Linked DNA regions of Oreochromis niloticus. The protein of the gene in region 3 interacts with the protein of the main gene of each other region in a pairwise test. Links are inferred from orthologs where the notes say so. Each region holds a gene or a part of one and is shown on either strand. Other genes may lie near its edges. The genes, in order: ewsr1b, ncoa5, khdrbs2 and heterogeneous nuclear ribonucleoprotein R.

Region 1 (6,866 bases), on a different chromosome or scaffold from region 3:
TAACCCTACAAACGTCACTGCTGTTTAGTTTTCTGTCTTCATTTATGTTGGAAGTGATAACAGAGCTGTACGTTTTAATTTGTTTCCAAAACCCCGCAGTCAGGACATGCTATGTTGTATTTAGATAGAAGCTAGCGAGCTAACTTCCTGCTAACTTCTAGCTCCGTTAAATGTCATAAATTCCGTTTTCATGGATGCCTGGATGTTAAACTCAGTTGTTACACCTGGTAGAGAAGAACGCTGATCATTTTATTAAAGATGAAAGACTTTAGACCAGGGGTGTCCAAACTTTTATCCCTGAGGGCCACATACATAAAAATATAGGAGGGGCTGGGCCACTTACTAGAAATTAGGTATATAACCTTAACTGTAGTGTATTAATGTTAGAAAAATCATTTAAAAGTGGTCAAATGTGTTATATTGTTGAATATAATTAAAGACAAAACTGCCTTCATCACAGCTTTCCATAAATGGATCTTTATTGATTTATTCAGAAAAAGCTTTGGTAGCTCATTCTCAGAACAGCAGCAGATTTCTTCTTGGACAGAAGATTTACAGTACAGAGGAAAAACAATAAAGGGGAAAATGGGACGGGTACATTTCAAGCTTATTATTTAAGTTCTTAGGCTTAGCAACACACCTATTAACGTTCGTTTGAAACGGTTATCAACATTAACAGATTGAACTGGACTTAATAACAGGAGTGCATATAATTTTAGTAAATTATTCTGGTGAGTATCAGCTGCGCTGGGTATGTAAATCGGGCCATCCAGCCGCGGTGCTCATCGTACGCCACTCGTGCCAGAAATCCGGACAAATGTCACTTGATCAAGGAGCAGATCTGCATCAGATGAGATCAGCTGACTTTGCGTGTGCGTGCGCTGTGCACAGCGGTGTGTACTCTGTGTGTTAACAAGAAAAACGCATATAAGAAAGTGGTGCGCAAAAGCAGGGTAGTGACAGAATTGATACGCATTATTGATATTTGAAGCATGTGTACCTGCACATGCATGCATATTAACACGCGGGTACTGTGGAATGTAGTTTTTACTCACCTAAAGTGCTCGTGCTCTCGTCCACTCCCCGCAAAAAAATAAATAAATTAGCAGCTGTGCGGTGTCTGTGGCATCGGTGCTCTCATCGCATGCGATGGAGTAAAAATCAAAAGCACAGCTTTATCAGACAGTTGCAGTTTAATGTTGGCTGACAGTCTTCAGTGCGTGGCACAACTGTATTTCTGGACATGCTGACGTTGTTGAAGTCCTGCACTTTTTCCGGGCACATTATTTCGGTGACTTTAACGAGGCAGCGTTTTATGAGGTCTCCATCTGAAAAAGGCTTGCCATGTCTTGCGATGAGTTGGGCGACCTCATAACTGGCTATTGGAGCCTTTTCCTGGACAATTTGAGCACGAAAAAAATACTGTTGCTGACCCCGCAGGATAGCTACCCTTTGCTTTAATTTCTGCTCTCGCTCAGCACCAGTGTAGGATGCATAGGCCTGATGTTTGGTTTCATAATGACGTCGTACATTATACTCTTTCATAACTGCCACAGTTTCAGTGCAGATCAAACAGACACACTTCCCCTTTAATTCTTTGAAAAAATATTCACTCTCCCACCGTGTCTGAAATTTTCTGCACTCACTTTGTAGCAGCCCTTGGCATCAAGAATGACAAAAGAGTCTCTAACGGGTGCAGCCATTTATTTCCTCACCACACACGCCTCATTCTCTGGACATTGAGCACCGTGAAAACTATAAAACAAGAAAAAATTGATACCCGTACAGTCCTTTTGAAGTATAACAATGAGCAATAACAACAATGAGCTCAAGTTAATTCAGGTAAGTTCAAACAAGTAATTCTGAGATATACAGTCACAGATTAAATAAAACAAAAAGGGGTTACTTCAAACAGCATCAAGGGGTTACACAGTTCGGTTAAATAAAATATAACAACAGATCACCTCTCATCACATACCTCAGTCCGCTTGCCAAGGGTGCAAACTCCGGTGAACACTTAAACACTTCGGCCCGTTTCTCATGGGATGCTGCTAGCTTGCATGACACACATGTCTAAGATGGACTTTGTACAACTTATTCCTGCCGCACGACAGACCGCTCATACACGTTACGGGGCATGCCTCTGAGCACATCTGTCCTTAGTGCGACTGCGCATACAGTTCCGACAACCCCCGCAAGGATGACTTATGGTACAGATCAGCGGTTCATTACACACTTTCTACTAGTGATGGCCCGCTTGAAGCTGACGCTCCGGAGCGTGTGTCGAAAAAAACAACACACTGGTTCAGAAGCACTGTGTCGAGGCTTGCTTCGTTTAGCAAAAGTCACGTGACCAGTGACGTCCGAAGCTTTATTACGCACGCAACTGCTTCGGTATCTGATTCAAATGGAACGAAGTGAATCATTTGCGGGATTTGTGGAGTGTGTTGATGGTGACAGATAGCGAACCACTGATCATTCTACTGAGAGATTTGGTTCTGTTGTGTGGAAGTATTTTGAGTTGATTCTGGTCAATCGGGTGGGTTTTCCAGCTTTGTGTTCTGGCTGTTTGCTTTTGTTTTGTGCGTCTTTATTTTATCTGAAAACGGGAAAAACTTAAAATGTAAAAAATCTGCTTTTCATAATATAAATATCAGTAAATAACTTCCATTTGACTCGTAACATTTAATGTTATAAAAAGATATATTTTATTTAAAAAAATAATCTTACAATGTTAGTCTACAAAATGTGCAGCAATTTAATTTATTTATTCTCTTTAGCCGATAGTTTGTGGAGCCATAACTGCATCTCTACCAGTTTTTCTGCACTCTAGCCTCTTCTCTTCTGTGCCATGTGAAGGGATTTTCCTTAAGGCAGGAGAAATTATCTCCACGAAAAGGAACAGATTCGTCCATCGCACAGTGGAACTAATTTTCTTCTTAAATAAAAATGAAAAAGGGTTTCCTTAAATGCATCATGTTATTAATTTGCAAGTTCATAAGCATTTTCCCTTTCCATTTCACAATCAATTCTACCCCCAGGTCAAAAATATGTATAGGAAAATTTCCCTAATATAATATTATTTATAAATATACCCGTCTAGAGATTAAATGCATAAGTACATGGAGGCAGGACCTCACAGCAGAAGCATACTGCATAATGTGCATTATTATATGTATGTTATATGTAACGTGGTATTTTTCAATTATTGTATTTACCAACATCAAGAAGTCACAAGCAAAGAAAGACCAAACCATGGTGCATGTTCACACAAGGAAAGTTTACTTGTCAAAATTATTTATTAAACAAATAAACTACATTTTTTAACACCAAAAAATACACGTTCAAAGCAACACAACAGCAGCCCAATATGAGACAGAGTTCCACTCTGTATAGTGGGCTATCATTATGAAGCAGTTGGTTTTATTTTGTGGATTCAAGCTGCTCTTCATATTTTTGGCCACCAGATGTCACCAGAGAGGACTGTGTTGAAAAGCTTCGAGTAATGAACCGTTTTTCAATACAAGCTTCAGTGCTTCAGAAAGCTTCATTTGGCCATCACTGCTTTCTACCTTTTGCTTCTGCCATGTTTGGTAACTTGGGGTAAATTTCTTCTGTGATTGTCCTTTTTGGTAGACCAACTGCCTTGATCAACAGTAGCTCCCCCTGGTGTTAAAACTAAGAAGTGCAATACACTCAAGCAAAAGTTGAAGTGCGGGCCATTTTCTATTCTATTTATAAAATTACTTGAGGGCCAATTAAAAATGGACCGCGGGCCAACTCGGACTTTGGACACCCCTGATCTAATCTGATTTGTAAACCTGTAATGCTTTCGCTACAACAGCCCCCAAACAGTATCGCGTTATGTCGCGAGATTTCGCGGTTGCCGCGAAGAGAGTTGCACTTCTGCGGTAGCATTCTTCGTCCATTCGTCTCTTATAGGCACACTAAAATGGCGTCTGCTTCGGGTGAGTAAAAAAAAATGCGACAATTACTGACTTTTAAAGTAAATTTTGTTATTTATTGAAACATTAATTTGCATGAATGTATCCTAATTGTGAGTATGTTTGCATAGTTCGTCTTTTTTAGCCACTTTTCTTTATTGAATAACATGAACCCAGTTCCCTCCGCGTCCGAGGCCTAGACAAGTTAGCACGTCGAGTCTTTGTGGTATTTACTCCGGATATGTTTTTTCATTTGCGCACACTGGGTTTTTCCGCATATTACCGATTTAAAATGAATCCTGTTTAACGGGTGCGTCGATGTCTGACTGGTTTCGTTAGCTGTGAAGTAGTGTTTAGGTTTAGTGAATGGCTCAGTTGTCTCGGTTTTGAATGGCGACATAAGAACGGGCCTGTAACGTGCGGCTCGCGCGCTGAGATCTGAGACTCTATTGTTTTTTGTTTTATTTTTTTAAACTAACCTTTTTCCCCATTTTCAGATTACAGCTCCTACAACCAGACCGGGGCTCAACAGGGGTAAGATTTTTCAGTTAACTTTATTAAAATGGCTTAGAGATTTTTAACCATCCAATATGACCTAATTCTTTCGAAGAAAGGAAACAAAGCGGAGATTAGGGTGGATGCAAATGTAAACCTGTATAATTTTTTTTAAAAATCGATATCCAAACATGGATTACTTTTGGTGTTTTTGTGACCTTCTTTAGGTCGTAGTAAACATCTTTTAGATAAAGACCATTTTTAAACAGTGCACAGCATGATATGTTTTTTCAGGCAGTACCCAGATTTCTGGTGATCCTAAAATTTTGATGCATATGTTTACAGGTATGCTTCCTATGCTGCCCAGCCCTCACAGAATTATGGACAATCTGCTCAGGTACCATTATTGATTTAATTGTGCAGATTTGATCAAAGCATGCCTTGTGCTTAAAACATTTAATGATTGTGGGGAAAACCTGGGATGGTTATTTGTTTACTGCTGGCAGTCATAGGTTGTTTGTGCTTTAAGCAAATGGAGCTTTTAAATAATGCTTAGTTGAGGTTTATTTTGCCTAATGGCTACTGTATTTGCTCTTTCAGCAAAGCTATGGCCAGCAGAATTATGGCTCATATACCCAACCTGCTGCAGCAGCTGCTGATAGCAGTTACAGTCAGACAACACCTGCAGCTGGAGGCTACCCCCAGCAGCAGCAACAGTATGGATCTGGATCATATGGCCAACCAGCATCAGGTCAGCTTTTGTTTTTTTTTAATTATTCTGTTGTTAAACAGTCAAATTACAATGTGGCAAAGCTTGTATTGATTCCTGAAAAATTAACAGGAATGAATATCAAATTTCTTTTTTTCCCTTTGTGATATGTGATGTCTTTTGTACAGCTGGCTACCCTGCTGCCCAGTCTGCTACTCACAGCTATTCACAGTCAACCCAGGGTTACGGAGCCAGTGGTTATGACAGTACTCCTGCTGCTGCTGCTCCAGCTGCCTCCCAGTCTTATGGCTCTCAGCCAGGATACACGGCTCAGTCTGCCTACCCTGGTTATGGCCAACAGGCTGCTCCCACTGCCCCTCAGAGGTATGGACATCTCATCTGACAACAACAAAACATGGGAATTCCAGAAGAACATGCTTATCGGATTACTTGCATTCTGTCTTTGCTTTGTCTCCATCAGTTACAATGCTAACAGCCAGCCAGCTACTTACAGCCAGAATAGCTACTCCCAGCCAGCAGCATATGGTCAACAACCTGGTTACCAAGGCCAGCAGGCAGGCTACAACCAGCAGCAGGGATACCAACAGCAGACCCAGCCACAGCAACAAGCTCCTCCTGCTTACCCTCCTCAGGCCGGTGGATCATACGGGCAGCCTCCAGCCAACCAGTACAACCAGCAAGGTGGACCACCCAGTTACAACCAGTCCAGCCATTACAGTAAGCTTTGCTTTCCTCCTGCCTAAACAGCTGTTCTCTCAACTAAACACATGTGTTCAATTCCACTGTGATCATTCTGTGACGACTGCATGTTTTGATGTTGTTGTTCCTCTTGTAGACAGTTACAGGCAGGATGGGCAGGGTGGAGGTTCTGGTTATCCAGGCTCTGAGCCTACGCGGTACCCTGGAGTAGGGGAGAGCAGGGGCCCTGGAAGGGACTTTGACCGAGGTGGAATGATGCATCGTGGGCGTGGAGGCATGGGGCGCGGCATGGGGTAAGTGTCTTTCTTAAGCACTTAATCTCACATTTATTCAGTCTCTGCAGGTGCCGTTGCCATTTGAGGCAGAGCTGAGACAAACCCTGCTGTAACATCAGAATAATACAGTAAAACATAACGGCAGTCTTGTAAGGGGAATTTATTAGTATTTGATACTGATTCATCAGCAATCAGCGCTAATGAATTGCATGTATCTAGTATAATACATGCAGTGGCATATGTTGTATAAGAATGAGTTTTGTCTCAACCCTGCCTCTCTCTTGGCCAAAGGTAAGAAGAAGGAAAAAAAAAAGTGCAGATTTTGATCACAGACCTGTGCATAAAATTTAGGTTGGACAGCTTATATCCTAGACCATGATTTGATTACTGGGCAGTATCAACAGTATAGGATAGAAAAACGTAGTTTCAGATTTCAACGTTTGTCAGGGAACATGGTACAATCTGTAAGAATATCTACATAAATACATACAGAATTCTAACCCTACTTTCTTTAGTTTCCCACCAGTTCAGTTTCTCAGCATGCTGAATTATTCTCTATAGGGTGACTAACTGGAATAATACAGTTAGATGCTGGAGTCTAGTCCTGTAAGGTCATATCACGACAGGTATTTTAAGAAATGTATAAATGGACGCTGGGCTCATGTAGCACATTAAGTTCCATTTCACATGCCCGTTTGTGTTTTACTAGAGTGCAGTATTTGG
Region 2 (7,687 bases), on a different chromosome or scaffold from region 3:
TGAGGTGACCGTTGTTGTGATATACATATGTAATTGAAAAGCACGTTTATAGTTAGAAAAGGTTCTGGTCTCTACAGAGACTCTCGCATGTCATACCAACTGTGTTGTGGGTGAACTTCTTTCTATATCTCAGTCAATAAATTAAACACTGTTAACGTTTAAAGTTACAGAGCTTGAATGCTTTGACTAACAGGTGTGCTGACAGAGACAGCTATAGCCCGTTGCTGTCTGCTAGACGTCACCTCCACTAATTACAGTTTGTTTGCGCTGCTGGTGCCTTTTGAAGCTTTTTTTAAAAGATGGAAAACAGTTGCCTAAACAGTGATGTTATGCATATACAGTCCTTTGAAATAGCTGTCAGTTCCAGTTAATAATAAACATGCGTTTTATTTTTATTTTATTTTACAATGTTCACTCAACACCTGAAAATAGATGTAATTATTTAATTAATGATTCTGATTTCCGACTATTTAAAACAACACCTTTAGTCACTTGTTTTATAACACTATGGTGTATATACCTAAAAATCTTGCGGTGGTCATTTGGCAGCCAAGAGTGCTTACAAAAATAATGCCATTAGCAGCTTCACTTACCAACTAGGAAATAAAAAAATAAATAAAAAAAATGTGTGTTTCGATCAGTCTTCCCCTTTTAAAGATCACCTATTGTTCTATGCACAGCTTGTTGAGGATCTTAGCCAGTAGGAAGTACATTTTATACAACTTGCCACAGCTCTTCTGTGGCTTTATTAATTTTTTTTCTCTCAAACTGAGGCAATTCCCACATACCTGGTACTCATTTTCTGCATCTTCAATAATTTTTACTAACTCCTTTGCAGTCTGGCTCTCGTTCTGCCAAAAATAAACATACATGAGTTAAACAGATCCAAACAAAATCAACGTGTTCTTAAACTTTAGCCCACAGACATAGAACAACACTTACAGACACAGTCAGTGATTTCTGTACATCTTTATGGCTGACCAGCTGCACATTTCCATCCTCATAATAATGTACCTGTGGTAAGGAGAGGAAATACAACATTGAAACAAAACTAATATCAAGACTATTCTTAAATTCCACCAAATAAAAACTTAACATACCTGTATTTTCAAGACTCCGGCAACCTGTGCTGTAGGCTGTGAGACACTGAACTTCCACTCAGACCGGCAGCGACCGTTCCTGGTGAAGGAAAACGCAGAAGGCTATGCTTGAAAGACGATCCCAAATGCATAATTACGGATACACTACATCAACATAATTCTTTGGGAAAATCTGATAAAGACATTTAGAAAGAGATCATTATCCTTTCTCAACTTACCAGAAGTTTTTAGGCTCATATTGATGGCCCTCGATACAAGCGATAATGGTCTTCTGGCCATCAATTGTTTTCCCATAAACCTGAAACAAATAACCAGGAGTGGGTGATTTATTATGCTTAAACTCAACATGACAGCCATAGTGCAATGAGAGAGGGAGTGATCTTACGGTGGAGACTCCACTGGGGTAGTGCTCCTTGACGTATGCCCTAATAGCAGAGTCACAAGCATCTCTCCATGAGCTGAGGGCTGCCTCGCCCTGATGGGGCTGAGGATCGCTGGCCTCCTTCCTCAGGTGGTCAAACTTGAAGGAGATCTTGTTGTGGGGGTCAAAGAAACGGCCATTACCCAGGTCTCCATGCTCTGTTATCAGAACCTGCAGGAGACCAGACAGACAAACCTGCTGTTACCATGGGAGTTCATTCAAGTATCCTAAGATAAATTAAATTGTAGATTCAATAATAATAGCAAATTATTTGAATGCTTAAAAAAAAAGAAAAAGGCCAAAACTTGCCGGCTCTTCATATCCATCAATTTTGGCACGGGTGAACTGATCCATGTTGTACTGGGCAAAGGCACTATAACAAAAGACAATATAACCATAAGCTGCATTCATATCTATAACATTGTTGTTATTCTTAGATTCTAGAGTAGTGCTACATGATCTGATACTTGGCCCTTTTTGACCATGTAAAGAATAGCAGATCTTAATGACATCATGGAGAACCACGAGTAGCAAAAAATGTCTGAAATTCAGCAGTTACTACAGTCTGAAGCCTGAGATTCAGCTTTGGACTGCATAAGCATGTCATCTCATTATTTGTAACACTGACCATGTTCCAAATAATGGAGGAGAGTAGAGTAATAATTGGTTCCCTTTAAAAAAAAAAGAAAAGGAAAAGAAAGAAGCTAAAGAAGGAAACTTACTGAGCTGCACCCTCTCTGAGGAGATTATCATTGTTGAGCAGGAGTCGCACATCTGAGAACAACAAGTAGTGGAAGACAACCATAAACACATTTTTCTTTGCACATGGGTTGCAGTTAGTACACAAGGTGTAACCGGGGTTTACCGTTGAAAACTTCATTGAACTCTCCTGGAGGAGCATGCATCACAAAATTAGCTGCGATACGGACCTGGAAATAAATAAGACATGTTGTCATGAAAAAAATAAGAAAGAGTGCCACATCATCAATGGGAATCTGCACTTCATCTCTAAGAAACTTTGGTGTTATTTAGTCTTGCTACAGTATCCATTTTTATAAAGATACAGATATAGTAGGCAATTTATATGAACAGATTAAAACCTGCAAATAACCACTAGAGTGAAGCAGAGAGTACTGGGTACTGTACTGTACTGTACTGTAACTTTCTTGGCCAGAGGCTGGTTAGCTCTATTTCAGCCGCTCCTTAGATGGCAGTACATGTCATCCAAGGGCTTTTCTTAGCAGCCACCCAGTATGCATGTGCAAGCATGTGGTGTCAAAGCCCTAGAAAGAAGTGACTGAGGCAGGTACTATGCTCTCATAAAGTAATACTCAATGAGGACCGCAAGTTGTACATTTATACCAGGCAGCTCATTGTAAAATCTGAAGTTAAGTTGTTCTCTATAGAGGTTACAAGTTCCCTTTTTTAAAATCACGAATTTGCCACCTTCACTGTATCCCTTTGCTAAACCCATGACGTCACTATCACATTGTAGTATGATTTTGCCAGTGATGCTATCTGTCAGGCAGACAGGATTATTAAAGCCTTCAGGCTGCAGCTGGCGCTGACCTACAATTGGGCTGTCCTGCTGAAAGGGCAGAAGGACATTACAATGAATAACCCAGTTTAAGAGTGGTGCAGGCATTGTGGCATTCAGAGCATACAGCACACTCTCAGGCTCAGACTCAGCTTCTCCATCGTGTATTTCAAACGCAAATGAACACACTATTTACGCAGACTCTTCAGAAAAGTTAAAATGTATTATTTTAGTGTAGATATCACACCAACCTATTAATCTTATTTCGAAAGATTCACTGAAACTACTTAAATAGTTAAGCTCCTGGCCAGATATCAGCTTCAGGAATGCAATGCGCTATTTTACAACATGTTGCAGCATGATACAGACAGCAACACCAGTCACTGCAAGGCTCAGTAACACTGCAGGGAGACAGAAGACCTACCCTCCTTATGCGTTTCTAAACCAAAAATAAGTATCGGGTCTTCAGTGCATAAAATACCCACAAACTCATTTGTGTGGGTCAAGCTTTAACGTCCGACGTTATCAAAACCGGTTGAGGAAGCTAAACGTGAAAGTGAACAGGGTGTGGGTGGTGTTTTGCTATCGATGCTCTGTCATTATCCTTGGTGTAAATGCAGGAAGTAGCTGGACTTCCTTCGATTTAACAGTTGCCAACCACTGCAAAGTTAAGAGCAAAATCAGAAATCGACGTTAGCCGTACGCTGAATATGGCTGCTATTTAAAACGAGTAATTTAGTTAAGTTACTCTATGTATAAGAACATAACAGCTTCAGCTCCGAGCTGTCAAATACAGCCCTGCCTAGGTTTAGCTAGCACCCAACAAACACCTACCATAGCCCTACTGGTAAATTCATACGCGACTTTAAAGATCCCTCCGAGGTCTGCAATTGTTCACGACAAAGGTTAGAGCTAAACCGTTGTTATTGTGAGGATTATTAATATAGCAATACCTTCTCTTCATCGCTGAGCTCTTCGAAATCTGCCATCTTGGCTCAATGAAGCGTTAACAAAGCGACGGTGGATGTTGCCAGGTATGTGGGACTGACTCCTCCCAACACAACGACCGCCCAGTCCCGGAAACCGTCTGCCCGAGCCGGTAAAACAACAACGTTCACGCTGCCGTGAGCACGAATGTGTAGATTTAGACAATAATTATAATATTAGCATATCCTCATACATTTTGGAAATTAACATGAAGTACATTACATATTATAAAATGCCGAAATTCAGGGATTGTAATGCTTTGTTTATTTTTACGTACAAACCGAGGGGACAACATCTCAACCTGGCAACCTTGCTACCTTCCAGTCATTTGAAGCAGCTAAGCTATACTGAGTCAAAATAGCGTGAACTGATTATTTTTATTAATTAAGCAAAACATTGCAAAAGAAGAGAGACTGGTTTAGAAAATACAATACAAATTACAACGCATATATGCAAATTATTATTTAATTTCCTTTATATAATTTGTTAGAGGGTTAAAAAATACTCCGTTTAAAAAAACCGTATATTTTTCTGGTAATTATTTTTAATGGTTCAGGCTCTAAAGGTCTAAAATTCGTTTTATTGATTCGAAGGGCATACTGCACGTATTTTATGTTTAGCCAATAGGTGGCGATATATAGGCTAAATGAAATGGTAGTTACATCCACACAAGGGGTAGAAGAAGATATCAGGGCCAGTTGCTGTAACTAAAGTGAAGAAGAAGCGCAGCATTGTGAGCGGATAGTGGTTGTCCGTGGGTGGCTGAAAATTAACACGAAATAGACTTTGAAGGTAAGCACATAGTCGCCCTGTCGTTCTTGCTATAGCATTGCTTGCAGCGAACCGTGGATCGTAAAGCATTTGCAGGCGTAACTGTGAACCTATCTGTTTGGTTTTAACGTCCCTCGTTAAGGTAGCGTTAAGAAGCTAACCGCCGACATTAAGCTAGCTCTATGTAGCTACTCCGTAACCACGCTATTAAAACGTCTCTCGGAATGGCGGTGTATGAGAGTATTGCTTTTAATGTTAACCGACTTAGTTTTATGAGCAGTGTAACGAGTCTATTTTTGGATTACATAGCTGGTGCTGTAGCGTGTAAATCGTTATTTATGAGGCGGCCGGAAAGCTTTGACGAAGAGTCCGAATCGAAAGCAACATTACGAGCCGCGGTCGGATTTGTGTTGCTAAAAAAGGCGTTTGGTGAGAGGTGATACACTTGACTGGCATTTGAAGTTTCGCAGTGCTACTTTGCTTTGCTGGTTATTCAGTTATTTTGTTTAACCTTCATTTATACAGACGATCCAATTGAGATTATAATGTCTCATTTACAAACATGCTTCAAATTTTGTTCATTTATTTTCTCCAGTTAAATCAAGGCACGTGAAATACTTACAGCTAATTGACTTTTTTGAGGTTTCTTAAAAAAATATGTCTTTGTTCCTAGAAGCAGCTTATTTTTAATACTTAAAATGACTTGTTGGTAATCATAGGACAGTGGCCAAACCGGTTTGAACCGAAGGCAATATTAAGTCAAGTAACTATTTGTTACAACCAACGTAAACAAAAGGGCATCTTTGATCGCACGAAATCTCAAACCTTGGTGCAGATGGGCTACAGCAACAGAAGACTACACCAAGTGCCATGCCCATCAGCTAAGAACGGGAAACTGAGATTACAGTTTACACAGGGTCACTAATATTGGTCAAGAAATAGAGTAAAACATTGCCTGGTTTGATTAGTCTGGTGTTCTGAATTTGCTGTAACTAACATGAAAGTATGAATCTGGCCTAACCTTTATCAGTGGTTCAGGCTGGTGTTGCTGGTGTGATATTTTTGGCAGGATATTTTCTTGGCACATGTTCTTTGGTATCATTTGAACATTGTTTAGCCACCCGGACCTACCTGAGAACATCTCAAACTAGTTTCTTGAACATGACAATGTTGCTGTTGACACTGTGCTCTTGGCCTCCACAATTACCAGATCTCAGTCCAATAGGGCACCTTTGGAATGTGGTGAATGATGAGGTTTGCATTGTGGATCTGCAGCCGACAAATGTACAGCAACACTGTGATGTTATCATGTCAATGTGAACCAAAATCTAGGAGAAATGTTTCCAGCAACTTGAATTTCTTCCATGGGAAATTGAGGCAAAAAGGGATTTAACCTAGTTCTGTGGTGTAACCAAGGTGTAACTAATAAAGTGGCTGGTGTGGAGACTTGTTATTGTGAATCAATTTATTCAATAACTTTCCGAAAGGCTGTTTGAGACTATATTTTAGAGCATTTCATTTGATTAATTTCATAAGCTTATTGTAGTGTTTGTATCTTCTTCTTTTTTTCCCCAGACACACTAGTTTCTAAATTCAGTGGATGCTGAATCCAGGCTATCCAGGTTCAAGTTAAGGTATGTAAGGAGCTGCTTCCTGAAAGGTTTATGTAAATTCCTTCAAGTATAAATGCAATGAAACTCTCTCTGGTCTTTCTGCTGTATGTATCTTGAGACCGAAAAACCTCTTGCGGTTCTGTTGTCCTGAAATAATTTTATATTGCGTTATCTAAGGTAGGGCTGCACAATTAATCGTTAGAAAATCGCGATCTCAATTCATACTTATGTGCGATCTCATTTCCAAATGACAATGATTTTTAAAAAAAAGGAAAAAGATGACGATTGTACCGCATTTTGATCCGGGACATAATCTGCATGAAAACAAGCGCTCACTCTTCCTGCTCAATAAATGACAAGGGCGGAGCCTTATACCACGTGAAACAGAAGCCAGTTGGCAGGGTAAAAACAATGGAGAGCACGTGAGAGATGACGAAGCTGTAAAGGCCAAGAAAGTGACAGGAGAAAATCCGTCCCGGTCAACCACCCAAACATCAATAATGGGAACCGTATACAGCGTTTCCCCATAGCCGTCGAACTCCCGCAGGCACAAAGAAATTACGGAGGCTATCACTTATCACCTGGCTAAAGATATGGCTCCCATCAACACTGTGCAAAACGAGGGATTTAGGAAAATGATCAACACCCTAGACAAACGCTACACAGTGCCGTCCTGCAACTATTTTTTCAAATGTTGCACTACCTGCTCTATACACGCAGTGTCGAGCAACGGTGGAGACGGAATTACAAGCAGTACAACATTTTGCGGCAACGACAAAATGTGAGACATTTATTGTTTTTATGTTTATTTATTATTTTTATGTTCAGTCTCAACTGTTACGAAGTTGATGTGCAGTTAATAAGTGCAATAAATATTTATATTGGAAAAGAAAATCGTGAGAGAATCGTGATCTCAATTCTAAGCAAAAAAAATCGTGATTCTCATTTTATGCAAAATCGTGCAGCCCTAATCTAAGGCACATAATACGCACATTTCTCCTAAGGACTTTTAAGGAAATTGCGCTGTTTTAGATTTTGGCATTTTCAGAGTGACCCCAGGAACGTGATTTCATTTCAGCTAATCTGATTTTCTTCAAGACGGCGTTATTTCAAGAGAAGAGGACTGCATTTATTTCACAAAGGACTGTTGTGAGACCCAATGGGGCTTATTTTTCTCGGATGGTGTGACTTTAAATTTGCACCACGAACCTTCTAAAATATTTCAGTCGTCAACTATAACTAGAATATATCTCACTCT
Region 3 (7,600 bases):
TGTCAGTCTGAGGAATCATTAGCCTCATGCAGCATGTCCAAGAAAAAAAAATCTGCATTTGAGATTGTGGAAGAAAGTTGTAGCAGTTTCAAAATACTCTGCATACAGTTTTGATTGTATAATATACCAATCTATTCATATATTCTGTCTAACAACCCTTGCTGCTTCATAAGAGGAAGCTTAGTTTCAGCTCGACAAGAGAATTATCCCCACCCACCCGTAGTTTACAGCTGCGGACTGGAGCTTTGTTCCAAAGAGTTTTAAATCAGCTCAAAGAAAGACAAACGGTTTTAGAAGCAACATAACTTAAACACAAACAGTAAATAATTCATTTCATAAATATGGAGATGCTAACTGTGACCACGGTTAATCCATGTTATGCTATTGATTGTGCATGATGTTAATAACACGGGATTACATCCTTTGATATTCAGTGATAAATAGCTGCGAATCTGTAAATCTGTAAACGCAGTTTATCTTGCTGTCCACCGATACGCAGGGTTTTTGCATTATCCATGAGCATAGACTGACAACACAAGATAACAAGTCTGTGCTGAACATTTTTTCACATGCTGCCCACGGCTGATTGTTTTGGACATTGCAAGACTGACTGAACTGACAGTTTATTATACTGATTGGCCACTTTTGTGTTTGATGAATACAGAGAGGTTTCTGTTTACTGACTTTGCCAACAGCATTCTTCTCAGACAAATGCATTCCAATGTATTACTTTTTCTACAGTATTGTACTGTAATATTGAAGACTGTACTGTATTGTTAATTATGGGGCATTGTAGTGTGTGTATTTGTTGTGAACTGTTAAAACTGCTCAGAGAAAAAAGTTAGTAAAGAAAATACATAGGTATCCTCATGTAACATGCTAATTGCAGTTCATAGTGGTAGATGGCATTCTTTGTTTGCATCCTGGCTGCGTCAGCTAGGCTTGAGTACATATGGCAAAGTGTACTGTGTGACAGATGATCCCATCTGCATCCCAGTTAGCGACAAGAATGGGAGTGTCAGGTGTCTCATCAACACATTTCAACAGGAAAGCTCAAGGGGCCGAACAGCAGAGTGCACACACACCCCATCCAGCAGCTAATTAACACAAAGTGTGACTTTACATTTTTAAACAAACATGTCAGAACCCAAAATTAGCATACATGCATGATCTAATAAATTAGTTAAATCAACTGCCTTCAGAATCACTAGTGATAACATGTTTAGCACACAGGAAAAACAGTAGAGAGCGTTTCACTGAGTGTTTTACAGTCATGTAACATATGATGGCATTTTATGTTTAATTTTGTCATTTTATGGCTGATATATTGTTTTGTAGAGGAATACGTTACTAACTGGTTTGCTTGCTTGTCATGTTTGGTTTGTCTTGTCTTTCCTGGTAAGGCCACGCAGGTTCATCCATTCACATTTATGATAATCATTCAGCCATTCACTCCAGTAGCACGTCACTCAAACGTTTATCCGAGCTTTTATAGCACTGCACATCAACCAGACTTGTGCAATTACAGGAAGAGAGACCACGCAGTCTATACGAGAAATGCAAAAGTTGCATCTCTGGGCTGAATGAGCTGAGCTGAGTTTTTGTGTTCGCTTTGAGGTGACACACTTCCTATCAGAAGTGACACATTCTCAGCATGTGAATGAGATGAAGGCTACAAAGTACTTTAAATGCTGCAGGCTGATTGCGGCACTCTGTTGACATACAGTAACATTATTCTGGAGGAAAGGCTTTACAGCATGTTTCACTGACATTTTCTGTTCTCCATTACCTTGATGGCATTTATCCTGTAAGAGGAGGTGTGCATCTATCAATTTTCGTTCAGTCAGAAATCTATGACTCATGATGCAATAATTACAAACACTTTGATTTTAGCCTCCAAGGTTTAGCTCACGTGGAATAATTAAAATATTAGAGAGGTGATATTTGGCTTGATAAATGACCACACAATTCACATATTTTACAGAAAAAATATTGGCTGGCAGCACACAGTATTATAACAGGATTAAGAGCACGTTTACCTTAATACAGTACTATGATTGTTGGACTGACGAATGTGGCACCTTTTTTATTATTTTTGCCCTGAAGTCAATGAGAAATCCTCAAGGAAGACATTCGCTTTATGCGAGCCAGCGCATTGATCTTGGCGGACAGTGGGGTTACAATAACCCCCTCTGACTGTACACATACTTTAGTGTCTCTGCTCACAGCATTTGTTCACTTGAAGTTTTGGGGAAAACCCAACAAAAGTTCCTCACTGGAGCCGAAGAGCAGTGTCTACATTAAACGCACAGCACAGAGAATTCAACTGTCGCCACGCAAGCACTAAAAGTCAAGAGTGATGTGTTAAAAACAAGCTCACATCAGCTCACTGTACTGCCCCAAAATTCAATGCAATTGTGCTTTCACGTTAGAATGAACATCGTGACTGTCGCCAAGTCCAACATTCAGAGTGCATTAGACTTGAAAAAAAAATAATATTTTCTATATATACACACATATATACTTGACTTACCTTCTGCAAGCAGGCGCACCGCATGCACAAAGGAGGGGTCCAGGCTGTTTTTCTCGGACACCAGCTCAGGTAGGTACTTATCTGGATGCATCTTTATCACAGCGGACCTCTTCACCGGCAGTGCAGGTGAGACGACAGGAGTGCTGAACGTCACAATGCAACTATAAACCTTGCCGCTCCTGCTTCTTGGTAGCTGTAGTCTACCGGTCTTAATGAGGAACACCAGCAAAACCCCCTCCAAAAATTGGTCTTCCAGTGTCTCCCGAGATGCTTGACTGGGGTAGGGGTGGGGGGGCTGATTTGTGATTCAAAGGTGTGAGCCCATCTCTGCTACCGTTGCCTGCTGCCTCTCCTCGGCACCCCGCCAGACTCAGTGGGTCTGCAGACCGCGCTGCTCCCCGCCCCTCAGCAACATTATTGGCCATATTCTGGGACTGGCGCTGCTGAAACACCAAGAAAGGTCCCCGCTGAGCGCAAAGGAAATGCTCAGTGTTCTTTAAGGGAATTGCTTTAAAAGGATGGGGTTGCATTTGGTCGCTGCTGACAACGGTCTATGAAATAATGTCACCCCGAAACTATAGATTCTCGGTTTTTTTTCAACTGGAAACTTTAATAATATTGGATATAGTACTCAAACAGAACAAATAAAGCATGCTAGTAAAGTTTTGTTGCACTGACAGACTGTACCATATAAATGTCGCTTAATTAAATGGGTTTTTTATGCAGCTCGTGAGTTTCAAAGTAACTACAAAGTCAGTACAAAGTAGCCCGCAGGCATTCACCTGTGAGGGACAACACAACTGTTCATGGTGCTAAACACTGGCTGCTGTCTGATTTGTTTGTACATATCTAATTTGTCTTAGATTTACGGGTAACCTAAATTAGCATACAGCATACTATTCTTCACACTCCACATGACATGATCCACTTCGTTAACTCTGTCCCACACGCTAAAACAGGGGTGTCAAACATAAGGCTTAGGGACCAGAATCAGTCTGGCAAAGACTCTAATCCTGCCCCGCTGGACAGCCTTGGAAACTGTCAACAAAGGCATAGATTTTTAACTTTTAACTGTATTTTCGTGAGTTTTACACTTTTGTCTTTTGATAAAGGTTTAACACATGGCTATTGATGCTATTTTTGTGTTTTGTACTGTCTACCACAAAAATTTCTCAGAGGGGGGGTTGACACACTGTGTATGCATTCCACAGTATCCATTGTGCACAAAAGCATTTCTTTATAATGTAGAAAAACCGAGATGTACTCTTAAAACTGAACATTCTTTTTCTTATATTAAAATGTCTCAAGGTTTAAATGTGCAATTAAACTTCTTTATACTGATATACATGGGAGTTTCATTAGTCTAGGTCACTTATGATCATAGTGGGCTGTATCTGGTCCATGATACAAAATGAGTTTGACATTGCTGCTGTCAAGGAAGTTTGGCTGTATTGTTACAGAGTGAATCATATATTTAAAGGTATGCATGCCAAATAAACCATTAATTAGTTTTTCCATGTTACTTAATGAACTTATGTCAGTTCCTTACATCCTTTGAGCTGCATCCCCTCTTATGGCTGAAGAAGGTCAGCTCTAGTAGAGCTTTAGCTGATTGCATAGTCAGTGGCAGACTTGGCATAAAGAAGCTTTAATATAAATAGATATTTAATAATAAAGTGAATTCTTCACTTACTCATCAAGAGCCAGTGTTAGTGGTGTCAGCACTGTAAGCATGAATGTTTATATCTCATCAAATGGCTCTCTTGTCCCCAAGCCATGATATTGACTTGAATCCAAAAGTCATCTTCGGCACAGCATGCAGGCTGCTTTACTAACTCACAAATTAGATTTGAGCAGATGAGGCTGGTGAACGACCAATTCTGGCTCCACTTGACCTTTAGAGTTGTTTCTCCCCGCACTGATCAGAATCATAAAGGCTCCTCGCGGCTGCAAACAGCAATGCTTTGTGAATATGAGTCAATTATGTTCATAGTATTTATGATTCTTCTCAGTTTTGGTAGAATTTAATATCTTCTGAGAAACCAGGACATTTGTCTTGGAAATCTAGTGCTGTTGTTTTGGGGTGCTCTGTGGTACATTAATGGCTGGAAATATCCATAAAACTGAGCCAAAGGTTTCTTTCATTTAAATTGTGTATTGGCATTGAAGATTACAGAGTATGACTTTTTTATGGCTTTTTAGGGTGATTTAAAAGACTGTTTTAGAGGCCAGAATACCCAAGTGGGTTTGTCTGACAGAACTATTTCATTAATCTGCTTATTTCTGTAATGCCAAACAAGCCTTAAAGGAGTTAGTATTGATTAAAACTTCACACTTACATCCCCTTTCCATTTATTTTTCATTAAGTTCCTTTCTCTATGAAATCAGACACAGCTTTATTTTTCTTCTTGAAAGCCTAAAACAAGCAGCTATGGCCATGTTGGCCAGTACTGTCTTTGCATTTCATGCTCGCTGGACCTTCACTGATTTAATTCTATTCAATAAAATGATTTATGACAGTGTTAATGCAAATCATGCTGCTGCTGCTGTGACTATTAATGGTAATGAGGGTTATGACGGTTAATGTGTTTGAGTCTTGTAAGTCTATAGTATGTTTGTAGATGTAGACTAATGCAGGCATATTGAAATAGACTCACACCACACACACACACACCAACAGATGAAAACAATAACAAAAAACCCATAGACACCTTATTACAAACCATAATTTTTAATAGATTTCTAAAGATTTCTACAGAAAAACTTTTTTCTTTCATCATCTCAACGAGATGAAAAATATTCCAAAATTAAGCCAACACAAGACTCAAACTGGCATTTATTAGTGGAGAGGCAAAAGCAAATCAGTTTCCAAAAACTCAAATCTTAACATTCCAAATTTTACTGCATAAAAAAAAGGAACCTGTTAGATTTCTTCTCACTTCAACTTTTTATTTTTAAGAACTCATCCATATGGATACTGGAAAGATTTAAAGTTAAGGATGCGATTGCGTTGACTGACAGGTCCACAGACACAAGGAGATGTTGTCCATATCCGCTAGGCTTAATTTGAGACACTGGTCCTCTTTACCATATTTGTAAATGGTAAAAAGACTGACAGGTATATAGCACACCAGCACTCGATGGAATTTTTAAATTTTTTTTTCTAATTCAGTTGAGTACGATTCTAGTATTTTTATTAGTCTGTTACTCACCACTAGTCCAAACGTGGTGTTCTATGACACCGATCAACTACATAAATGGTAGATATAGCTACCATGATGTCATCCATTGGTTTCTGAGGTTTCAAGACTTGAATCCACAGTATAAGATATTTCAGATAGCATGTGACAAAGGGGTGAAGGTCTGTGCAGACCTACCCAAAGAATACCACAAATAATGCTCCTTTTTCAAAAATAGTATACCAAGATTGAAAAAAATAAACATACCCTTTTAGTCCAGGTGACCCAAAAGCATTAATTTAGCCCACTAACTTATCAAAAAAGTATTCACTAAGGTAAGAAAGAAAGCGTTTTTTCCCCCCATAGACTTCTATTGTGGTTTTACAGACATGTGACCACTAACCATGTGATGTTAACATGTCTGCCATTTTTGGCTTTGTGACAATAGAATATACAGTAACGATGTAGGATCAAGTGAATAAGGCCCTGGTCACACAAGCAGAGAGTGATTAGTAACCATCTGGCAACCACCTGTTGCTAGGGAAAAAATGTGTATTCACCAACTGGTTAGCAAATAACTCCTTCCAATTGCTTTGGTTGCTAGCATATTGCTGTGGTCCTAGTTTGAATGAAAGAGATGGTTTTCTCCATGAACACTTCCCAGCTGCTCTCCAAGCTGCAGTGAAACAGTAAAAAGTGTGAAGCACATCAGAAATGTAGATCATTTGCTACAAAGTAAAAGTTGTACCTTTCTCTACCAACCAGTGGTGGTATCATGCCCAATATGGCAGACAACTATTGAGCAATGTGCACATGACTTTACATGAGAAACCTCAACATGACCCAAAGTCTTTTTTGCAAACAACAGCTATCGCCATCTGGTGACCTATAGTTAGAATGCAGGTTCAAGACACTTCTGCAGTGGGTTCATATTTCTGACCCATAAATCATGTCCATGTTTTATACTGTTTATTATTCCACGGTGGCAACATCCATCTTTTATTTATAGTCCATCAACAGAACTACTAGGGTCAGAACTTAAAATTTAGTTTTAAGTTTAGCTTTCTGTGTGTGAGAGTAAAATTTAAACTTCTTTTAATTTCTTTAAGAAAATACTTTTATCAAAGTATAACTGACAGCACAATTATAACAAACGTTTTCTTTTGATCATAACTTTTATGTATATTTCTTTATATGCATTTGATGGACTCTTGCAGCCCTCTAGTGGTCAAAGTGCAACATTATACGTTTTACTGACAGACTGATAACACTATCATTAAAAATGTAAATGTATGGCAACGCTTTAATGTAAGGCAAATAACACCAGAGCACCGCTGTGTAACCTCAAATTAGTTTAGAAGAAGTTGTTTATCTCCTTTTGTTTGCTTTAATCTGTTTTCACATTTTCAGGGAGCTATATTTTCCTTTTATAAAAGTTTGTATTTTAAAGTTTGTTGATGATTCTCTGTAAAAATTAGTAATATAAGAGTAACTTTATTCTAATTTTTCTGCTTTCTTTTCAGCAGTTGTTTCGTTTGCAGATCCTTTTTTGGGTACCCTACATGCACCCTACATAATATATTAAGAATTCAATAGCCTATGATATAACCTGCAGCTGGTGAAAACTAGCCCATGTGAACATGTCCACCTGTTATGTAGTCCAACTGCTTGACCATTTGTTAAACTCTGTCCTCTTTTTGCCCTGTTTTAGCTCCGCCTTTATCGAGCCAAGCACACGACTCCAAAAATTCAGACGTTGTTTTCACAATAAAACTACATTACAACACCCAAGTACTTCAGTGAAAAGGGGCATTATTACATTCAGACTGCACATAAATGCAGCATAGCCGTCCGTATATGGCGTTATTTTTGTGTCACTTTACGTCCG
Region 4 (7,903 bases), on a different chromosome or scaffold from region 3:
GAGAGAAATCAGTAAATCTGACACTACTTGGTTTTGTGCAGCAGTAAGTGCGTCTAAATATTTGCCAGGAAAAAAAGCTAACTCAGCAAGGAATTCATAAAATGCAACAAAAACAAACCAACATTACCCTCCAATTTTTTATTTTTTATTTTTTTTAAAAAGGTCCCAAACCTTTTGTCTTCAACATGTTCTTTCTATTAAAAGGTTTGACATCATTTGTTCTATTCAGTATGCAAATTTAGTCTATGGGGTTTTTGTTATGTTTCGTTTTCCAGAATAGCTGCTAGCATTTTGACTGTTATAAAAAAAACCTGACACTTATTAATAATTGTTCATTTTTACTATAATTGTGTCCTTCTGAATACAAATCAATTATGCATAGCTTTAGGCATTGTTGAATTTCATTTTAAATCTCTTTTTTACCCTCTAATCTCTTCCCAAATTGTTTTAATCTTTCTGCCAAGTTCAATGAAACAGTTTTCCTCTACCCTTTGTGCATGAACTGCATATCTCCAGTATATTTTTATTACAGCAATTAATCTTGGCTTGGGTTACATATGCTTTTCTGCTAAGATGTGTACCCACTGCCTCCTACTGTATCTGTTGGATAATAATCAGAACATTGAGTTCATTCTTCTCTGATCATTCTCTTGTAGGCAAATTCATGTGCAGACAGTCTTTGTCTTGCTGCATGACCCACTTTCTCTTAAAACTGTGGCCTGGAATATTTCCTTTAGAATTTGCTGGTATAATTTGGACGTCACTGGTTTGTCAGTAATAGCAAAACAGGTCCAAGTTATGTATATATACACCACCACGTTTCACAGTTGGAGTAAGGTTCTTATCTTGGAAAGCAGAATTCATCTTTCTGCCAAAAATGCTTTTCATTTCAACTAACTCTCCAGTGTCACCCAAAAAATAATTTTTTCAAGAGTTTTCTGGCTTGGCCATGTATGTTCAGTCGTATTCTTTTTGGAAAAAGGCAACTTTCTCCTTTCAAATGTGAGGATGAAACCTGACAAGATGCTCACTAACACCCACTGTGAGCCCATAAGATTCACCTAAAAAGTGACAGTTAGTTCCCTATCAAATCCCTAGCAGATCACGTTCCTCAATAAATAAAGTCTAATTTATCAGGTTTTTTTCTCTCATCTTTTAATTAGGTTCTGCTTATCTCAGCTTATCTGCTTGTTTTTGCAGTTATGTTGTGCTGAGGCATCCAGCACACATCCTCTCTTCTTTGCCAGAAAAAGACTTGAACTGAATTAAAAGACTTTGTTCTGTTTTCAAAATAATCTTTGGCTGATATAGATAAATATCAAGGAAATGAGAAAGGAGACCATCACAAAATTTAATATATAAATATACAGAAAATACTAGCTTTGGATTTTTGTGCATGATGCCATGATAATTAATCCCATTAATATCTGCGAAACAACCCAGTTGACTTGGATTGTTGAGTGTTATGTGCTTTGTTTATGAGAAGCTGTAAATAAGGCGTTCAGCGGTCCCTCTTTAAGTGGGACTGCACAGCGTTGGCACTCCTTCCTCTGCTGTCCCACATCTTCAGATCACATCCCACATTTTCACTTGCTGCACAGGACACTATTCTAAAGCCTGGCTCTTACTCAGTGTGTCTAAAAGGAAAAACTTTTTATTTTCATTCAGACGTTACAAGTTACCAAAAAGTCTCAGCACTGGTAACGTGCACCACTGTGTTTGTCCCACATTAAGTTGTTGGGATTTGGTCATCTCAGCTGTAAATAGAATATCAGTCCCCTACCTGCAAGATGGTGTTTTCTACAGCCCTCCAAATCTACTGTCAGATAGCAAACATCCAGATATTTTAGGAAATTTAAGCATCCATCATTCTGGGTTAACTTCAGCTACACTCCATAAGTCCATATCCAGAGAGCAATAGATAAATATAGATAAAAGATATATATCCTTAAAAATATGAAGGATCGGGCTCAAGGTCATCTAGATTTCTACATATTGGAATTTTAAATGTCACTTTTTATTCTTTTTATATTCATTTATTTTTAGAAAATTAATGACAGTAAGGATTTGAAATTTAGAACTTTTCTATTTTCTGCAATTCCTATCACCTGGGATTATGTCCAGACAAATCTGAAATGTTGTGGTGTGAGGCATTTGAGAAACTGGACTGATCCACTTGAAATTACATTTAATGTGTATGCACGCGATTTGTTTCTTAGATCTTATGCACATGACTTCTTGACTGTAGAGCTAAAAAAAAATCACCTGAAAGTGCTGAAACAAGCTGAAATACGAAATTTAAGATGGAGCCATATGGACGTAACTGCTGCACTTCTGCCCCCTCGCCGGGTGGTGGCAGCAGCAAGCGCGCATGTGCCACAAACGGTATTCTCCACGCCCATACAAGGCGTTTACTTCAAATTTCCGCATTTTGAGCTAAAAGGACAAGTAGTCGCACTAAACTTTTCTCTGCTGTGGTGCAGTTGTTTTCGCTGTTATTTGAGTGGCAATGGCCAGACTTCTTCTGGGGGCAAACCTGAGGAGATGCGTCGCCTCTCAGATCAGAATGGCATCTGATCAGGTAAACTTTGGTGGGTTTGGTGACAGTTTTGGACGTTAGCAGCTAGCTCGCTAATGTCTGCCATATCGGTAAAAGGCTGGCGAGGAAGCCAGGTGGTAAAAAAAATGCGACTTAATTGGTGGAAAAAGCAAACAGTGATGTTTGCAAATAGAGGCGGCAGAAGATCCCCCATGGCTGCAATGAAAAACACGCAAAATGATGTATGTGCAGTTTTATTTACCCCTAAACACTTTACTGACTCACTTTTTTGCGACATGTCAGTTGGTTTATGGCTATATAGACTAAGTTTGTGACATTAATTGTAATGTTGTTCTTATGAACAGGATAAATATTGTTATCCCCGTTTTAGTTGTGTAAATACCTGAAATAACCTGCATTTATGTGCAAAACTGCGGAAATGCGGCAAGCTCTTTATCTTGGAAGGAAAAATTAATTAAATTAAGCTTTATTCATTGTTTCAAACATACATTGTTGCTGAAAGGAGTCCGTGAAAGAAGTGAAAAATCTAACCTTACTGTGTCATTTCAGTTGAAGGTTGGCACACCTTATTCAGACTCCAGTGAAAATGGTCAAAGGTCAAAAAGATCACTGTAGTCTATTCCACATTCTAAACACTCAGTATGAGCTGCTGCACACTTTCTTCTTCTACTACTACATCCAGCTGCCTCCTTAAGAGGTTGTCACAGCAGATCGATTGTCTCCATCTCACCCCATCCCTAAAGATCCTCCTCTCTGCATCTTCTTCTTTACTATTCATGACCCTCCTCTGACATCTTCCTCTTTTCCCCCTGCCTGCCAGCTCCGTCTTAAACAGCCTTTATCCAGTATATCCACTATCCCTCCTTTTACACATGTACAAACCATCTCAGCTTTGCTTCCCAAACTTTTATCTCCAAACTGCTCGACCTGAGCTGTCTCATGTCTGATGTACTCATTTCTAAACTTGTCCGATCTGGTCATCCCAGTAAAGATCTTTACATCTTCAGCTGAGCCTCCTGTCATTTTGTCAGTGCCACCATCTCCAAACCATACATCATAACAGGTCTTGTCTTCTAAATCTACCCTTTCACTCTTGCTGCTATCCTTCTGTCACAAAACATTACAAACCGAACCAGTTTAAGAACTCTAGTTCTTCTATCATCTGGAATTCTTAACACCAATCTAAATAGGCTGAGGCTACACAGGTTGTGCTTTTTGTTTTTTAAAATATGTCTGTATCTACTTGTGTTGTAGACCCATTTGCACATATGGGTCTAGAACACAAATTGGGAGTCCCCATCAGGATGACAATGGGATTAAAATGGATCTGTGTGACCAAGATTTTAACTTGTGATGGATGAGCGTATACTTGTGGGTCAGATGAAAATAAATGCACTTGTCTTGATTTACAAAAATGCTGGTCCTAACATGTGCTTGCACTTTGTGATGTGTTTTGTTTTTTCTTCTAGCTTGGTGAGTTGGGCAAGGGAGCTGGGAAAGGTGGTGGTGGAGGAGGCTCTGTGAGAGAGGCCGGAGGTGCATTTGGAAAGAGAGAAGTAGCGGAAGAGGAGCGATACTTCAGGTAAATACTCCCTTGGATTTTTGTTTTTTCCCCACAACACTTTCACCCATTAACTTTTATTTTTATTTTTTCCACTTGTAGGCAGAAGGAGAAGGAGCAGATGGAAGCTCTGCGGAAGCATCATACGGAGGAGATTGAGCACCACAAAAAGGAGATTGAGCGTCTACAGAAAGAGATCGATCGCCACAAGGGCAAAATCAGAAAGCTCAAACATGACGACTGAACCTTGTTATTTCTCCTTAGGAGTCCAGACTTATCAAAAGGTTAATGGTCATTAGGCATTGATTTTTTTCCTGCTTATGTAAAGCAGGGGTCATGCTAACACTATAACTTCAAGAACAATGAAATAAAATGATTAATTTTCACATGTATCCAGAATTCATTGCCTCTACTTTATTGCCAAACCTTTTTTTACTTTGAGCTTTGAATTGTTTATTAGAATAAGGAGGCTGATCCTCTTTGTAGAAATGTGGCTCCTATTGGGTTAAAGCGGTGCCAGTTGTAGTTCATTCTCCGTGGTTGGATAGCTGATGAAGCGCTCGTTTTTCATCCCAGCGCTACTCGGTCAGTTTGGGTGTAAAGCCCTTTTGAGCTTGGCCCGGTTATCGCCTGGTTTTGTTGGCGTTAAGCTCAGCTCACTTCATACCTTATAAGCAGTAAGCATACGTCTTAAACTTTGTATAAGCGTCAGGTTGTCCGATACGAGCACGCCCGGCCTGGCCTGTCAAAACGAACATACCCGCCCTCACTCGGCGAGTTTTCGTCCACATCTCGCGATGGTTGCGAAGCAGTGGCGTTGTTCGGGCGAGCCGACGACGAGACCGTATCTGTCTGGAAATTTGTCTCGTGGGTTAGACTCAAACATATTCCGCGCATTTAGACACTATTTGTATGTCCGATAGGCTAGTCGTTTCACGTTTTAGCACCCGTCGGAGTTAGTTTCCTGAATCGCTCTGGTGAGTTTCGCTAACTGTGTGTTTGCCCGTGTACGGGGCGCGCGTGTACTTGATTTGCGAAAGGTGTCTTTCTGCACGGCGAGGCCTTCGTATGTAAGCTCGTTAGCCAGCTAGAAAGCTAACCATCATCATTGTTTTGTTTTTTTCGCAAGGGCAAGATAACGTATTCGGGGATCCCGCGTGACCAAAAATGCTGTAAAATCTATCCAGCGTTGTCTGCTTGTAGAAGAGGGTGTTGTGGGGTCAAAAACATATGGACGTAAATGCATAAAAAGAAAAGCATTCATCTCGCTGGCTTGCAAGCTGCATGTGAAGGGGGGCGGGACTGAGGCTGTACGTGTTTTCTTGAAGTGACCAGGTTGTTGTTGTGCAGTACATTATAACGTGTCGACGCCGATTATAGTTCGTAAATTACATTCATAAGAACTACAGTTCCAGTGAGTCCTATTTTTAAAAAATTAAATGGAAACCATAAAGCTTGTAAATCAACTTGATTTACTGCACTTGAGTTGATGACATACATAAAGATTGAAGTGTAGTTTAGGATTGTGGATCTTTCTATTTATTGGTCTGATTTTAAGTAAAATAACCTGTTAAGAAGAACCATTAAAACATTAAAATTAAGTAAAATGTATTTCTTTGCTTTGCTGCTGAAGGAGAATGGCTGCTGCTGAGGTAAACGGTAGTTCTGCCCCGGCAAAGGAGGAGGAAGAGCCCATGGATGTGACCACAACACACACAGAGAACTACCAGACCCTCCTTGATGCTGGGCTGCCCCAGAAAGTAGCTGAAAGTCTAGATAATATCTTCCAGACAGGTGAGCGGCTGTATGTTTATTTCCACTAAAAGAATAATGTATACCTGCTTTTCTGTAGCTAAGCCTCATGCTGAACATCCATTGTACCCGTAGGCCTAGTGGCATACGTTGACCTGGACGAAAGGGCTATCGATGCACTGCGGGAGTTCAACGAGGAGGGAGCGCTTACTGTGCTGCAGCAGTTCAAAGAGAGCGACCTGTCCCATGTACAGGTATCCACATAGGCGAAAATGAATAGAACCCATGTCTCTTTGCCCTTGACAGGAGTTTTAACTTGACACAAATTGTTGCAAATTAATTATCTCGTTTGTTTTTGTTTTTTATTGCAGAATAAAAGTGCTTTCCTTTGTGGAGTTATGAAGACCTACAGACAGAGAGAAAAACAAGGAAGTAAGGTACAAGAGTCCACCAAGGGCCCAGATGAGGCAAAAATAAAGGTAAACAAAGTCATTTGGCTAAGTTTTTTTGTGTAGCGGGTCAGATTGAATGTCATATAAACACGCCTCTGCAGCCACAGCTCAGTTAATGTTTGTTTTGTGTGTGTGTGTGTGTGTGTGTGTGTGTGTGTGTTTCAGGCCCTGTTGGAGCGCACAGGATACACCCTGGATGTCACTACAGGCCAGAGAAAATATGGGGGTCCTCCACCTGAGGATGTGTTCAAAGGCACTCATCCAGGCAGTGGAACTGAGGTAGAGAAGCAATTAAAAGATAAAATATAGGATAAAATTGTCTGTCATGATTTCCAAGGCTGGGTTTTGTTATTTGAGTAAGACTAAGAAAATATGAGCTACAGTGTCATTCATAAAGACTAAAAGCGTAATGTTTTGCAAATCATTACGCTCGCTCACATTTCTTTCCCCTCTGTTCACTCCTCAGGTTTTTGTTGGAAAAATCCCCAGGGATTTGTATGAAGATGAGCTGGTGCCACTCTTTGAGTCTGCTGGTCCCATCTGGGACCTCAGGTTAATGATGGACCCTTTATCTGGTCAGAACAGAGGTTATGCCTTCATCACATACTGCAATAAGGATGATGCACAGAAGGCTGTGAAGCTTGTAAGTAATGTCGCGGGAAATATCAGTCCATATTTTTAACAGCTTGAGGGGAAATAGACTTAAAGGTTTACTTATTGGAAAGTGAAATAACTTGTGCTTCACAGTGTTTTCAGCTCCTTTCACTCATTTGTTAACTTGTCTGTTTTTTGTTTTTTTGTTTTTTACAGTGTGATAACCATGAAATCCGCCCTGGAAAGTACTTGGGAGTTTGTATATCTGTTGCAAACAATCGGCTGTTTGTCGGATCGATTCCAAAGAACAAAACAAGAGAAAGTATATTGGAAGACTTTGGCAAAGTGACAGGTTTGTTTCTAACATGCAGGTTTTTGTTTCTTAGAGACTCATTTAAACAAATTATCAGTGCTTAAAAATGATTGATAAACGCACACAACAACGGTTGTGATAGTCAGATGTTATTGTTTGCCTCACAGAGGGTCTCCAAGAGGTGATATTGTATCATCAGCCGGATGACAAGAAAAAGAACCGTGGTTTCTGTTTCCTCGAGTATGAGGACCACAAGTCCGCGGCACAAGCTCGCCGTCGCCTGATGAGCGGCAAGGTCAAAGTGTGGGGGAACCCGGTCACTGTTGAGTGGGCTGACCCTGTAGCTGAACCAGACCCAGAGGTCATGGCTAAGGTTAGCGATTTTAGTGTCTCATTGTTTAATACACATCAGGCACGCTCTGCATTCCAGTGTGACAAACATACTGTTTCCTCTGTTATTATTATAGGTAAAGGTGCTCTTTGTGAGGAAGCTGGCAACAGCAGTGACTGAAGAGCTTCTTGAAAAGACCTTTTCCCAGTTTGGAAAGCTGGAACGAGTGAAGAAATTGAAAGACTACGCTTTTGTCCATTTTGAAGAGAGGGATGCTGCCGTAAAGGTGAGTTTCTCATGCTTTGGCCAAACCTTTTTGATTGTGTGATGATTCTGTGTG

Evidence for each region.
Region 1: the proteins of khdrbs2 (region 3) and ewsr1b interact in a two-hybrid assay, tested with the Homo sapiens proteins (2 studies listed by BioGRID and IntAct). The two-hybrid records come from large-scale screens. The link is inferred for Oreochromis niloticus from reciprocal best matches to the Homo sapiens genes KHDRBS2 and EWSR1.
Region 2: the proteins of khdrbs2 (region 3) and ncoa5 interact in a two-hybrid assay, tested with the Homo sapiens proteins (2 studies listed by BioGRID). The two-hybrid records come from large-scale screens. The link is inferred for Oreochromis niloticus from reciprocal best matches to the Homo sapiens genes KHDRBS2 and NCOA5.
Region 4: the proteins of khdrbs2 (region 3) and heterogeneous nuclear ribonucleoprotein R interact in binary tests that used the Homo sapiens proteins (3 or more experiments, as listed by UniProt). The link is inferred for Oreochromis niloticus from reciprocal best matches to the Homo sapiens genes KHDRBS2 and HNRNPR.

The regions. Positions count from the first base shown.
Region 1 is NC_031977.2:18,649,616-18,656,481, forward strand, and holds the start of ewsr1b (EWS RNA-binding protein 1b), read left to right. Parts: upstream 1-3,851; 5' UTR 3,852-3,952; coding exon 3,953-3,968; intron 3,969-4,441; coding exon 4,442-4,478; intron 4,479-4,784; coding exon 4,785-4,836; intron 4,837-5,039; coding exon 5,040-5,190; intron 5,191-5,336; coding exon 5,337-5,532; intron 5,533-5,629; coding exon 5,630-5,886; intron 5,887-6,004; coding exon 6,005-6,161; intron 6,162-6,866. UniProt on the Homo sapiens protein: Binds to ssRNA containing the consensus sequence 5'-AGGUAA-3'. Might normally function as a transcriptional repressor. EWS-fusion-proteins (EFPS) may play a role in the tumorigenic process.
Region 2 is NC_031970.2:8,753,729-8,761,415, reverse strand, and holds the start of ncoa5 (nuclear receptor coactivator 5), read left to right. Parts: upstream 1-4,684; 5' UTR 4,685-4,837; intron 4,838-6,391; 5' UTR 6,392-6,450; intron 6,451-7,687. Other genes in the region: capza1a (F-actin-capping protein subunit alpha-1), read right to left, coding at 789-851, 943-1,014, 1,101-1,179, 1,319-1,398, 1,486-1,692, 1,831-1,894, 2,244-2,295, 2,387-2,450 and 1 more. UniProt on the Homo sapiens protein: Nuclear receptor coregulator that can have both coactivator and corepressor functions.
Region 3 is NC_031978.2:20,112,400-20,119,999, forward strand, and holds the start of khdrbs2 (KH domain-containing, RNA-binding, signal transduction-associated protein 2), read right to left. Parts: upstream 3,003-7,600; 5' UTR 2,625-3,002; coding exon 2,534-2,624; intron 1-2,533. UniProt on the Homo sapiens protein: RNA-binding protein that plays a role in the regulation of alternative splicing and influences mRNA splice site selection and exon inclusion. Binds both poly(A) and poly(U) homopolymers. Phosphorylation by PTK6 inhibits its RNA-binding ability.
Region 4 is NC_031985.2:16,818,770-16,826,672, forward strand, and holds the start of heterogeneous nuclear ribonucleoprotein R, read left to right. Parts: upstream 1-4,889; 5' UTR 4,890-4,988; exon of another isoform or gene 4,989-5,098; intron 5,099-5,754; 5' UTR 5,755-5,758; coding exon 5,759-5,915; intron 5,916-6,008; coding exon 6,009-6,127; intron 6,128-6,244; coding exon 6,245-6,352; intron 6,353-6,490; coding exon 6,491-6,604; intron 6,605-6,791; coding exon 6,792-6,968; intron 6,969-7,135; coding exon 7,136-7,271; intron 7,272-7,399; coding exon 7,400-7,605; intron 7,606-7,699; coding exon 7,700-7,849; intron 7,850-7,903. Other genes in the region: atp5if1a (ATPase inhibitor A, mitochondrial), read left to right, coding at 2,510-2,581, 4,030-4,142, 4,224-4,365. UniProt on the Homo sapiens protein: Component of ribonucleosomes, which are complexes of at least 20 other different heterogeneous nuclear ribonucleoproteins (hnRNP). hnRNP play an important role in processing of precursor mRNA in the nucleus.